2 linked regions of the Pelodiscus sinensis genome follow. The protein of the gene in region 2 interacts with the protein of the main gene of each other region in a pairwise test. Links are inferred from orthologs where the notes say so. Each region holds a gene or a part of one and is shown on either strand. Other genes may lie near its edges.

Region 1 (6,906 bases), on a different chromosome or scaffold from region 2:
TATCAGGCTGAGTCTATATTGATGTTTTCTAGTAACGGCAGATTGCATCATGCTTTGAGATGATGGACTGGTTTGTAAGGAATCCCACTGATCAAACTGTGCCACAATGTTATAGCCCTGACACAGTTATATAGTTGCTCTTCTTACTGCCTCCATTCCTAGCACAATGTGTTTTCTCTATTTTAGAATAAGTTTTGAAAGGCCAAAAAAGCAGCAGGAACTGGAATTTCATTCATGCTTCTGAAGTTTAACACCAAAGACAGTCAGTAGTTTTTTTTAATTGTAGAACTTTAAAAAATAATTGTCAGGCCTTCATGCTGGTAACTGAGACATTAGGATTCAAAAGTAGACTTAGACTCCCAAGCCAGTCCAGGTAACCCAGACACAAGCTGGTCTCCAAACCCATCTGAGTGTTTTTGTTGTTGTGGGGTGGGTTGGTTTGTTTTGTGGTTTTTTTGCCGGGGGGGGGTTGTTTTTTGGGTTTTTTTTTTTTGTTGGCACAGGTTAAGCTGTCACGTGAACTAAAGAAGATCTCTCTGAATAAATATCCTCAGCCAGTTTTGGTCCTTCCTATTTGAACACTTCCTCAGATGGCCCTCCCTTGTATCCACTGGAGTGTAGCATTTTTGGCTATACAACTTTGTCCTCTGAATATAAGGCTCTGTGCCTCAGAATATGCAAACCTTGTAAAACTGAACTGAATCTCCTAGCCAAAAGGAAGCAAGGTCTCTGGGTACCTTTGTTAAGGTTTAAAGGAAACTCTGCATGGAATGATTTTAATAGGTATAGAAGGCAGGAGAAGGAGATTGAGACAGGAGTAGATGGAGGGAACATGAGGCCATGGACTCAGAAAGCTAAAGGTCCCACGCAGGGAGAATAAGTTATAAAATGTTACTAATCTCTCTGCTCCCTGCACACAGTAGAGTGGCATTATCACACACAGCATGTCACCCCCAATGTCTGATGGGACATTGTGGTATTATGCAAGTGATCAACTTAATTATTTGAGCAGAGAGTATGAACCTTTAAGGGCAGGTGGTGAGGGGATCATCAGCTTAAAGGGCATCATTTGGGATTTGTGTGGCTGGTCTGGTTTGTTTTCACCAAAGTGCTTTGTAGTTTTTTGGGGACAGTAAGATAGAGAGAAGTGACCCATGGAATGTAACTAGCACCTTTGGCTAGCCATCTAGAGCATAAATAAAGGACAAAAAGTGCTTGAAAGTAGTGAGAGAGAACAGACTTTGAGACATTGGCTAATAGTGATTTGGCTGCATCGCCACATCCCTGTCTTTCTGCAGCCACTGTTGACTTTTTAATCACTTTGTTTTAACGTCTCTAATAGATGTGAGTTTCTCTCTTGGTATTGCTCTGTCTTCAGTAAATCTGCCATGGATTCTCAGCATTTGGTAGTGGAGAGAGCACTAGTTTAATAAAAGAACTCAGCAGCAAAGTGGGTAAGAGGATGGTGTACCTGAGATTTAGAGAAATATCTGTCGTATTTCCGATTCTCTGCTTGTGATTGTTGTGAAGTCAATGAGAGGAGCTTTCAGTGGTCAAGTGTCCTGGCATACGGCATTTCTGTTTAACGTCAAAGCACAGGTTTCACAATGTACAAAAAAAGCTGTCTCTTAACAAAACAGAAACAAAGTGCAGTATTGCAGAGAAGAAAAAGAAAACCCCCTTTGAATGTCACATTCTCTTTTCTTTTCAGTTAGCTGATGTTGGGACTCTAGATCTTAACATGTATTTGTAAACCAGTCTTGCCAAAATACAAATGTTTTGGGTTTTTTCACTTCAGTTACCTTTTGTTCTTATTATAATTACTTCTTTTCAGTTGCTTCAACCATATGCTTTATTTCCAGAGGCCTTCCTTGTAGTTTCTCTCTTTACAGGCTATAGTGTTACATCAGTATTTAAAGATGCAAAAGAAAGCCACTAAGCTCATAAGAGAATTACTGAAATCCACTTAGCCTGGCTGGAGCTAAAGATGTGCTACCAATGTTTTCCTCCACTCAGAAAAAATTAAATTCTGCATAAAGATGCTACCTCAAGGCTCCAAGTGCTTAAAGGTCTTTCGCCCAGGAGAGTTCCATAAATCAGTTCTGCAAATTGGTCTGTTGTATAGAATTAAATGTATTTTATCGATTCATTGGGAGGCCCATATTTTAACTCATTTTACCACTAGAATTTGATTCTTAAAGGATGAATGATTGCATAGATTGATTCTTGCACTATAATTTTGACAGTGGAAAAATAATACCTGCCATATAAGCTTATGGTTTTAAAAAATATACCATTCTGGGGTTCAGCTTCACTTTTGGTTAATAAAATGCTGACATGTCGTGTCCAGCCTTCCTGGTACAATCCTCTGTGTGTGTTTTAACTTACTCCAGATGAGCATTTATGGATCTAGTGACAAAGGAGCAAGCTAAATTACTAGTATGACTGCTGGAGGTACTGTGGTAAAGTTAGTATTGTCAGTGGTCTGCTGAAAATGGTTTTGTCGTCTTGACACAGTAAAACCAGTTATAAAATTCCCCAACCACAGAATTTTACTATTTGGTGAGAGGACCCAATTGAAGCATTAAGATTACACCTTTGTGCATATTCTTGCTATGGATAAAACCAGCTCCCTGCTATTGTTGCTACAATACATAGTAAAATGGTGCAATTGGCTTTCTGACATCATTTGAGCACTGCTGGTGTATCAAGAACAGTGCAGAACACAGATTCGTAAAACAAAACTAGTCTTAGGGTGAGATCATTTCTAAAGTTACCTGCCCTGCATTTGTGGCTGACATGTGAAAGTCAGCTGGTGTGCCCCAGTGAGGAGCACCAGGAAGAGCATGGTGGGCTGCAGGCAGGGTTTCGGATGCTGCGGGTCTTTTAGAGGTTATAAATGAGAAAGCTAAGCCAGAGAGGGCAGGCACTACAAATGCAATAGGCCCAGTGATGCAAATATTACTCTCATTATAATTCCCATTATCATTAGGCTGTCTATATGATCTATTATCTGAACTTCCCTGTAAAGGAGGCACTTCCTATCCAATCAATATAGAGCTCTGCTGTGACCTATTTTCACAGAGGCCGCCGCCTTCTAAAAGCACTTCTGATTTTTTTTTTCTGCTGTATTTACCACCTATCTCAGGCCTTCCCAACAGCCTGAAGCTGATGTGCAGGCACTGCTGGCCATCTAGAAAGAGGAGTGTCTGCCAGTCTCGCAACAGGAATATGTGCTATTGGGAAGAAGTGAGTTGTGCCCACAAAAGCTCGTAATACTATCCACGTTTTGATAGTCTTTAAGGTGCTGTATGACACCTGGTTGTTTTTTACATTTTTGTGATGTTAGAGTCTGCTGGGTGATATTGGCAGTGCTAAAGTATGGAGAAACGGTCAATGGTACCAGACTGCTACCATGCACAGAACCTAACCTTTGTTACTGTATGGGATGGGATCCTTCACAATCAGAGACTGAGCCACAGCCCAGAGCTGGCTTTGTGTCAATGTAGGATGAAAGTCATGGAGCTTAATGCTCGCAGTGTTCAAGTTGCCTGTGGTTTGACACAGCTGCTGATGCTGATTCACTTGAGTCAGCAGCGGGTCAATGCTGTAGCCCGAACCTGCGTTAGATCAGTCCTGTCAATGGGCTCCGTGGTGCGGGGTAACCCCTCCCCCCCCCTCGTGCTCCCGGGCGTTCCCTCAGCGCCCAGCCCTGCACTGTGACAAGGGAGAAGTCAGGTTACTCACTCAAGTCATGCGGCCTGGCTGCGCAACGCAGGGCCCCCCCCTCACCCGCTGGGATCGTGCAGCCTCCATCAGGCTCCGCTAAGAAAAGACCCAGCCCCCGGCTGTACCAGTAACGGCGGTTCCCCTGCGCCGGGCTACGGGCTCTCGCCGCCGGGCAAGCCGCTAACGGCCCCGCTGCCATCCGGGAGGAGCATGTCCGCGGCCCCTCTAGTCACCCGAGCGCCGGGAGGCCGGGCCCTAGCCCCGGGCTGGGCCCCACTCGCGCAGGCTGAGGCGAAGTGACCGCGCAGCGAGGGGCAAACTGCGAGCTAGGCCCGGGCCCCCGCGCGCCACGTCCCCATGGCAACGCGAGCTTGGGGCAGGGAGCCCCGCACTTTCATCTGTGGAGCATCGCGCACGCGCACTTCCGGAGCCGCTGCCCAGCGCGCGCCGTTGGCCTGGAAAAGGAGGAGCTGCTCGCTGATTGGCTGGGCCGCGCCTGTTCGAGTGCGGCGCGTGCCCGTGACGCTCCCTCCCCCCCAGCGCTGCGCTCGCGGGCCGGCGGGGGAGCTGGGCACGAGATGGCGGGGGCGGGGGAGGGGCGCGGGCCCCAGCCTGCCGCCTTCGAGCGGATCGTGCTGCGCAGCGCGTCGCCGCACCACTACCTGCGGGTCCGCCTGTAAGTACCGCCCACGGGCCGCGCCCACCTGCCAAAGGCTACGAAGACAGCCGGGCGGCGCTGGGCCCCGCGGGCAGCGGGGGGGAGGGAGAGGCCGGCGCTAGGGCCCCGCGGGCAGCGGGGGGGGGGGGGGAGGGAGAGGCCGGCGCTAGGGCCCCGCGGGCAGCGGGGGGGGGGAGGGAGAGGCCGGCGCTAGGGCCCCGCGGGCAGCGGGGGGGGGGAGGGAGAGGTCGGCGCTAGGGCCCCGCGGGCAGCGGGGGGGGGGGGGAGGGAGAGGCCGGCGCTAGGGCCCCGCGGGCAGCGGGGGGGGGGGGGGAGGGAGAGGCCGGCGCTAGGGCCCCGCGGGCAGCGGGGGGAAGGGAGAGGTCGGCGCTAGGGCCCCGCGGGCAGCGGGGGGGGGAGGGAGAGGTCGGCGCTAGGGCCCCGCGGGCAGCGGGGGGGGGGAGGGAGAGGTCGGCGCTAGGGCCCCGCGGGCAGCGGGGGGGGGGGGGAGGGAGAGGCCGGCGCTAGGGCCCCGCGGGCAGCGGGGGGGGGGGGGGAGGGAGAGGCCGGCGCTAGGGCCCCGCGGGCAGCGGGGGGAAGGGAGAGGTCGGCGCTAGGGCCCCGCGGGCAGCGGGGGGGGGAGGGAGAGGTCGGCGCTAGGGCCCCGCGGGCAGCGGGGGGGGAGGGAGAGGCCGGCGCTAGGGCCCCGCGGGCAGCGGGGGGGGAGGGAGAGGCCGGCGCTAGGGCCCCGCGGGCAGCGGGGGGGGGGGGGAGGGAGAGGCCGGCGCTAGGGCCCCGCGGGCAGCGGGGGGGGGAGGGAGAGGCCGGCGCTAGGGCCCCGCGGGCAGCGGGGGGGGAGGGAGAGGCCGGCGCTAGGGCCCCGCGGGCAGCGGGGGGGGGGAGGGAGAGGCCGGCGCTAGGGCCCCGCGGGCAGCGGGGGGGGGAGGGAGAGGTCGGCGCTAGGGCCCCGCGGGCAGCGGGGGGGGGAGGGAGAGGCCGGCGCTAGGGCCCCGCGGGCAGCGGGGGGGGGGGAGGGAGAGGCCGGCGCTAGGGCCCCGCGGGCAGCGAGGGGGGAGGGAGAGGCCGGCGCTAGGGCCCCGCGGGCAGCGGGGGGGGAGGGAGAGGCCGGCGCTAGGGCCCCGCGGGCAGCGGGGGGGGGAGGGAGAGGCCGGCGCTAGGGCCCCGCGGGCAGCGGGGGGGGGAGGGAGAGGCCGGCGCTAGGGCCCCGCGGGCAGCGGGGGGGGGAGGGAGAGGTCGGCGCTAGGGCCCCGCGGGCAGCGGGGGGGGAGGGAGAGGCCGGCGCTAGGGCCCCGCGGGCAGCGGTGGGGGAGGGAGAGGTCGGCGCTAGGGCCCCGCGGGCGCCGGCCGCTTCCGCACCTGCAGGAAATCGAAAGAGCGCGAAGCGCCTAGCGGGGCTTCAGGCTGCGCATGCGCAGAGCGTAGCTGTAGCACAGGCCCCGTCTGCGACTACAATCCGCTTCGCTGCCAAGTCGGTCCGAGGCGCCGCCCATTGGGCCGCAGCGTCAGTAGCCCGCCCTTCCGAGAAACCGCAGCTGGCGATTGGCCAGCGGGCGCGTCCGTCTGGCGGCGGAACGGAGCCCCAATGGCGGGGGTCGGACGGTGTTTTAGCGGACTCCGAGACACGTGACACGCCCGGTCACGTGGCTGGCGCGCGTTTTCCGTAGCCCGTGGTAACGCCCCGCGCTGCTTTGCAGGGACGGCCCCGAGAGCGGAGTCGCGCTGAGCGCCGCGCCCTTCAAGCAGCTCGTCCTGTCGGCGCTGCGGGAGCTGCACGGCGAGGTGAGGCCCCGCCCTTCGGGCTGCTCCCGGCAGTGCGCACACAGGCCTGGGCTTCCTTTCGGCGAGTCACCGGGCTCAGGCAATGCCAGCCGCTCTCGGGGGGCCTGGCCGTCTGCGGCTCACCACACGGGGGCCTGCAGCACCTTGGGACTGACGACAAATGCAGGTGATACGATGCATTTCGTGGGTGCCCACAGCCGCTCATGATACTCGCTACATTTGTTGTTAGTTTCCAAGGTGCTGCAGGACTAGTTGTTGTTTCTTAATTTTAGCAGGAGACGCAGGCAAGCAGAAAATATAGCTCATTGGACTGGGGCTTGGGGTCCTAGGATTTATTCTTGGTCTCGCCACTGATTTGCTGGTGCAGCAAGTCATATCCCCTTATTGCTTGAGTTTTGCCGGCTATAAAATTGTGATAATGATGCTTTGTAAAGTGCTTTGAGATCTTTGAATGAAAAGGGCTCTATAAAAGCTGGACATTACAATGTTGTTCTAATAATTTCTGTTGGAGAACCTGGAACTCAGACATTCATAAACTGATGTAAAAGCAGTGACTAAGGCTCATTTAACAGTAGTGCCCTGTTTGTGCATAGGTTGGTGCAGCCTTGCCTGTTGATGTCTTAACATATGAGGAAAAGACCTTCTCTGCAATACTAAGAGTTCCTAGCAGGTAAGACACTGATTGCATATCCAGTACCTTGCCAAGTACAAACATGAAA
Region 2 (7,031 bases):
AGAAATGTGTCTGAGATGAAAGTTAGATGCATGAAGGTAAGTGTAGCAGTTAGTAGGTTTCCCGTATAGGATGGTGGAAATTTGTCCATCATTTAATTGTACTGTAGTGTCAAGAAAGTGGATTTCTCGTGTGGACTGATCCAGGCTGAGATTGATGGTTGGGTGGAAGTTGTTGAAATCCTTGTGAAATTCTTCCAGGGTCTCTTTCCCATGGATCCATGTGATGAAGATGTCATTGATGTCGCGTAAGTAAAGTAAGGGTGATGGGGGCGAGAACAGAGGAAACGCTGTTCAAGGTCAGCCATAAAGATGTTGGCATATTGTGGTGCCATGCACATGCCCATGGCTGTGCCACTGACTTATGGCTGCTGTCCTGCAAACAATTATGCAGATGCTGAATTGTAAGAACACACACAGTAGTCCCATGGAAGTCAGTAAGACGACTTGCACCATAATGTTAGAGCACATACACAAGAGCTTCTAGTACTAGTGCCTCAGGATATGTCTCTTCTCAGGGGAAAAAAAGACCCCAAACACATACAAAAGCATCCCACTGCAAAGAGTCTTGGGGTATATCTATGCTACAATTAGAAACCCACAGCTTGCCTGTGCCAGCTGACTTAGGCCATGTCTACACTTACATAGCTGTGCTGCTGTAAGAGTGTTCATGTAGCTGTATTATGTTGACAGGATAGAGGTCTTCTGTTGATATCATAAAACCAACTACTGCTGCTCTCTGAACTATGTCAGCTGGAGAGTGTCTCTCACCAACACAGCACTGTGGATATGAGCACTTATGCTGGCAAAACTTAGCCATTCACAGGGGTGTTATTTTCATACCTCTGAGTGACAAAAGGTTTACTGATGTAAGTACTAATGTAGACATGGCCATGGACTTGTGGGGCTCAGACAAAGTTGTTTAGTTGCAGTATAGACATTTGGGTTCAAGCTGCCTGAGCTCTGGCACCCTTCTACCCTACAGGGTCCTAGGATTCAACCTGGGGATATAAAATCATACACAAAAACAAAAACAGTGTAACCAACCAAAATTCTATCAGTTCCCAGTCAAACGTTTACTCTGACACACAAGGCTATGGAAGGCTACCGGAGGAGCACCTGTCACCAGGGTCTTACCTGATGGCCCCACATCTAAGGCTCTGCCCTCAGTAGGCATCCTGGTGTGCAAGGGGTCCCAGCTGCTCGCCCCCCAGCTGCTGGCAACGCCAGGATGCCAAGTGGCAGCAGAATCACAGGTACAGAGCCAGTAGCCAGCATCCCAGGCCGCAGCAGCGGATGATTGACAGACCCCAGCCGTCAGGCCAGAGCCCAGCTGTGGGGTTCATAGACCAGAGGGGCTGGCAGCCCACAGGAACCTGGGGTTCTACGATGCCAGGTGCAGCAGCCAGGAAAGCAAGTAACCGTAGCACCCCAGGCATGGCAGCAGCAGAACCCTGGGCACCAGACTGGCAGCTAGGAGGAGCTTCAGGCACACAGCTGGTAGGTGGGATCCTAGGCATTGTTAAACCATTAACAGAAACTGATAAATCTCATCTTATCAGTTAACCCATTAATCTCCTACTTCCCTAAATCCAGCGTAAGCCTGAATGTCTAGATCACAAATATAAACAGCCCTTTACCCTAAGGTGAGAGTCAACTGGCACAGACCAGCTGGACTTAAAACTGTGGTGTAGTTATACAATCAGCGCACAGGTCAACTAACGCAGGCTCCTGCTGCAGAGCTAAAAATAGTAATATAAACATTCAGACTCTAGCTCCAGCCCAAAATCCAGTGAGACTCTCCACCTTGCTGGCTTCAGAGTTAGGGCTCCAGCCTGTGCTGAGAAAGCTACATAACAAAAAAGTCCCAAGCTGGGCAGGACAGAGAGGTTTTACTAGAAATAGTGCACATCTACCATGACAGAAAGGATACGCTTAAACCGGCTTATTCATTGGAACTATCACAACAATTAGCCAAAGCGACGAGGAGTCCTGTGGCACCTTATAGACTAACTGAAGTGTAGGAGCATAAGCTTTCGTGGGCAAAGACCCACTTCGTCAGATGCAGTGGGTCTTTGCCCACGAAAGCTTATGCTCCTACACTTCAGTTAGTCTATAAGGTGCCACAGGACTCCTCGTCGCTTTTGCAGATTCAGACTAACACGGCTACCCCTCTGATACTTAACAATTAGCCAGGCTATCTTTCCAGCAGAGGTAAAAGTAAGCAGGTACACCCTGATGCACAGCTCTTCAGCAAGAGAAGGCTAAGCTGTGGCAAAAGCCAGCTGGGAGCTATTTAAAGAGCTGGCAGGGACGGGACAGTACCTGTAAGAAATTTTAAGTTACTTCCACCCCTGCTTTCCAGTCCCACATGAGAGATGTTAACTTAATGAATGAAGTGATGCCAATTAAAGATGCCAATGTGTAGACGACTACAGATTAACCGATAAGTCTAGGCTTCTCAGTTGATCCTGCTGACCACGCACATTTCCTTCCCACCTTGCTTCCTCTGTATCAGAGACAGCATGGAGGGTGGGGGCCCATAGAGAGCCAGCTCCCCATGAGAACTGGATCTGTCTTCTCACTTCTGTGCTGCACAACACTCAGGCTGCTGCTGCCTGCCCAAGAGCCAGGGGTTACCAACGGGGCGGGGAGCAGCGCTCTCCGCCCCAAGACAGGCCGGCAATGGGGGGACCCCTGCACGCGAGCTACCGCTGGATAGCGCCCACCCCGGCTCTTGCACGGGCAGCAGCCAATGGGCGACTCGCCCCGAGCCCGCAGCGCCCGGCAGGCTGGGAGAGCCGCGCGGACCTGGCCGGCGCCTGGGGGGGAGGGGGTGGTACTCACGGTGCGCGGCGGCCTCCAGCAAATTCTGCAGCGACTTGAGGTCCGGCGCGCGCGGGACGTTCAGATCCGCAAACACGGCCATGCTGCCACCACGTGGTGCCAGCAGCCTCAGCGGCAGGGCGGCGCTGGCACCTCCACGTAGGCTGCGCCCAAGGCATGCTGGGGGTTGTAGTTTGCACCCCCAGCCTCCCGCGCTGCTGTGGCGGACGGGCGGTGCGTGCGGGCCCGTGCAACCCAGCCTTCCCAGCTGCGCCCAGGGGCAGGTTCCCTGTGCTCGCACGCCCCGGGGCAGCCAGCCTGGGCCTGGGGTTCGCAGCCTCGCAGCATGGCCCCTGCCTAGGGATGTGAAGGACTCGTCGACTATCCCATAAGCAAATGCTTATGGGATACACCACAAGCTAGTCAACTAGTCACTTCCCCCATTGCTGTCTCCCATCAGAAAGAGGCAGAAAGGGAGGGGGGAAGTGGAGGGGGTACTTCCAAGCGGCAGCCGCTGCTTGAAACCTGGAGCCAGGTCCCCATGGTGTTTCAAAGTGGCAGCATCGCGTGGAGCCCGGGATATGAGAGAGAGAGAGAGAGAGAGAGAGAGAGAGAGAGTGTGTGTGTGTGTGTGTGTGTGTATATATATATAGAGAGAGAGAGAGAGAGAGAGAGAGAGAGCCAGGTCCCCATGGTCCCCATGGTGTTTCAAAGTGGCAGCATCGCGTGGAGCCCGGGATGTGAGAGTGTGTGTGTTTGTGGTGTATAGGCTACGTTATTCCTGCTTCCTGCCCTACATGGATCCCTGAGCTAGTGGTGCTGCTACCCTCAGCTGCAGAGACACATTGCAAAGAAGCCCAGAAAAGTGAATCCCAGATTTTCTGAACCCTGATAGCCCCCTGAAAGCCCCCTAACAAATGACATGGCTCTTAGCTACATTGTAGCTCCATATATATGTAAAAATGTTGTAGAGGTGGAATCCTTTTCAGAAACAATGTTGAAACAAGGTGAGGTCTTTATTTCCGGGAGAGAGCAACATTGTAGCCACTAGATGGAGCAGCTATATTATTCAACTGAATTATTACCAATGAAATTATTTGAGGCATCATCAGAACATTGAAAATGTCAACAAAAGGGGATAATTGTTTTTAAGATACAGCATTTTCTGACAGATTACGTTTAAAATGTAATCTGTTGTTTATAAATAACTATATAGGTTTTACATATTCTATTAATACATTTTAACCACTGTTAGTGAACCTCACCCTCAAACTAGCATTCAAATTGACAGAAAATATCAGGATGCATCTGTCAAAGTGGTTTTTACCCACAAAAGCTTATGCCCAAATAAATATCATAGAATCATAGAACTGGAAGAGATCTCAGAAGGTCATCAAGTCCAGCCCCCTGTTCTAGGCAGGACCAATCCCAACTAAATCAACCCAGCCAGGGCTTTGACAACTCAAGACTTAAACACCTCTAGAGATGGAGACTCCACTACTTCCCTAGGTAACCCATTCCAGTGTTTCACAACTAAATCAACCCAGCCAGGGCTTTGTCAACTCAAGACTTAAACACCTCTAGAGATGGAGACTCCACTACTTCCCTAGGTAACCCATTCCAGTGTTTCACAACTCTCCTAGTGAAATAGTTTTTCCTAATATCCAACCTGGACCTCTCCCACCCCAACTTGAGACCATTGCTCCTTGTTCTGCCATCTGTCACCACTGAGAACAGCCTCTCTCCATCCTCTTTGGAAGCTCCCTTCAGGAAGTTGAAGGCTGCTATCAAATCCCCCCTCACTCTTCACTTCTCCAGACTAAACAGACCCAACTCTGTCAGCCTTTCCTCATAGGTCATATGCTCCAACCCCCTAATCATTTTGGTTGCCCTCTGCTGGACCCTCTCTAATGCGTCCACATCCTTTTTGTAGTGGGGGGCCCAGAACTGGACACAATACTCCACATGTGGCCTCACCAGAGCCGAATAAAGGGGAATAATGACATCTCTGGATCTGCTGGCAATGCTCCTCTTAATGCAACCTACTAGGCCATTAGTCTACAAGGGCACACTATTGACTCATATCCAGCTTCTCATTCACTGTAACCCCCAGGTCCTTTTCTGCAGAACTACTACTTAGCTGGTTGATCCCCAGCCTGTAACAATGCTTGGGATTCTTCCGTCCCAAGTGCAGGATTCTGCACTTGTCCTTGTTGAACCTCTTCAGATTTCTTGTGGCCCAATCCTCCAATTTGTCTAAGTCACTCTGGACCTTATCTCTGCCCTCAAGAGTATCTACCTCTCCCCCTAGCTTACTGTCATCTGCAAAATTGCTGAGGGTGCAATCTTTCCCCTCATCCAGGTCATTAATAAAGATATTGATCAAAACCGGTCCTAGAACTGAACCTTGGGGCACTCCGCTAGAAACCGACCACCATCCTGACATTGACCCGTTGATCACTACCCGCTGGGCCCGGCCTTCTAGCCAGCTTTCTATCCATCTTATAGTCCATTTATCCAATCCATATACCCTTAACTTGCTGGCAAGAATATTGTGGGAGACTGTATCAAAAGCCTTGCTAAAGTCAAGGTATATCACATCCACTGACTTTCCCATGTCCACATAGCCAGTTACCTCACCATAGAAGCTAATCAGATTGGTCAGGCACGACTTGCCCTTTGTGAATCCATGCTGACTATTCCTAATCACTTTCCTCTCTTCCAAGTGCCTCAAAATGGATTCCTTAAGGATCCCTTCCATGATTTTTCCAGGAACCAGGTAAGGGTGACCATGCTATAGTTCCCTGGATTGTCCTTCTTCCCTTTTTTGAAGATGGGCACTACATTTGCCTTTTTCCAGTCATCTGGGATCTCTCCTGATCTCCATGACTTTTCAAAGATAATGGCCAGAGGCTCCTCAATGACATTTGCCAACTCCCTCAGCACCCTCGGATGCATTAAGTCTGGACCCATGGATTTGTGTACATTTAGCTTTTCTAAATAGTTCCTTATCTGTTCTTTATCCACCAAGGGCTGTTGTTCTTCATCCCATCTTGTGTCATTTAGCGCATTAGTCTGGGAACCAATCTTGTCCGTGAATACAGAGGCAAAGAAAGCATTGAGTACTTCAGCTTTCCCCACATCATCTGTCACTAGGTTACTCCATCCAGTAGGGGCCCCACGCCCTATCTGATCACCTTCTTCTTGCTAACATGCCTGTAGAAACCTTTCTTATTATCCTTCACATCCTCTGCCAGTCGCAATTCCATTTGCATTTTTGCTTTCCTGATAACCCCCCGGCATTCTCGAGCTGTACATTTAAACCCTGGTCCCTGGTCATTTGTCCAAGTTTCCACTTTTTGAAAGCTCCCTTTTTGTGCTTAAGTTCACCAAGGATTTCCCCTGTAAGCCAATCCAGTCTCATACCATGTTTGCCTCTCTTGCTATGCATCGGGATGGTTTTTTGCTGTGCCTTCAATAAGGCTTCTTTAAAATACTGCCAGCTGTCCTGGACTCCTTTCCCCTTTATGTTAGCATCCCAGGGGATTCTACCCATCAGGTCTCTGAGGGAGTCAAAATCTGCTTTTCTGAAGTCCAAAGTGTGTATTTTACTACTCTCTTTTCTTCCTTTGGTCAGGATCCTGAAATCTACCATCTCATGATAACTGCTTCCCATGTTGTCACCCACCTCTACTTCCCCTATTAGTTCCTCCCTGTTTGTGAGCAGGTCAAGCTGCACATGGCTGCTGGTCGGATCCTTCAGCACTTGTACCAAGAAGTTATCCCCAACATTCTCCCAAAACGTCCTGGTTTGCCTGTGTACTGCCGTATTGGTTTCCCAACAGATGTCAGGGTGATTAAAGTCCCCCACAAGAACCAGGGCCTGCAATCTGGAAGCTGGTATAGATGTACCCTTAGTCTTTAATGTGTTCGAAGAAAGCCACATCTACCTCATCCACCTGATTCGGTGGCCTGTAGCAGACACCAACCACAACATCACTGCTGTTGTTTGTACCTCTAAACTTAACCTGTAGACTCTCATCAGGTTTTTCTCCCTCAGTATACTGGAGTTCAGAGCAATCATAGTGCTCTCTTACGTATAGTGCAACTCCTTCTCCCCCCTGCCTGTTCTTCCTGAACAGTCTACACCTTTCCATGACAGCGCTTCAGTCATGCGAGTCATCCCACCAAGTCTCTGTTATCCCAAT

The links.
Region 1: the proteins of RPP30 (region 2) and RPP14 interact in binary tests that used the Homo sapiens proteins (3 or more experiments, as listed by UniProt). The link is inferred for Pelodiscus sinensis from reciprocal best matches to the Homo sapiens genes RPP30 and RPP14.

Annotation. Positions count from the first base shown.
Region 1 is NC_134721.1:380,417-387,322, forward strand, and holds the start of RPP14 (ribonuclease P protein subunit p14), read left to right. Parts: upstream 1-3,807; 5' UTR 3,808-4,307; coding exon 4,308-4,405; intron 4,406-6,102; coding exon 6,103-6,187; intron 6,188-6,780; coding exon 6,781-6,857; intron 6,858-6,906. UniProt on the Homo sapiens protein: Component of ribonuclease P, a ribonucleoprotein complex that generates mature tRNA molecules by cleaving their 5'-ends.
Region 2 is NC_134718.1:40,357,521-40,364,551, reverse strand, and holds the start of RPP30 (ribonuclease P protein subunit p30), read right to left. Parts: upstream 3,003-7,031; 5' UTR 2,927-3,002; coding exon 2,845-2,926; intron 1,452-2,844; exon of another isoform or gene 1,175-1,451; coding exon of another isoform or gene 1,135-1,174; intron 999-1,134; exon of another isoform or gene 893-998; coding exon of another isoform or gene 841-892; intron 1-840. UniProt on the Homo sapiens protein: Component of ribonuclease P, a ribonucleoprotein complex that generates mature tRNA molecules by cleaving their 5'-ends. Also a component of the MRP ribonuclease complex, which cleaves pre-rRNA sequences.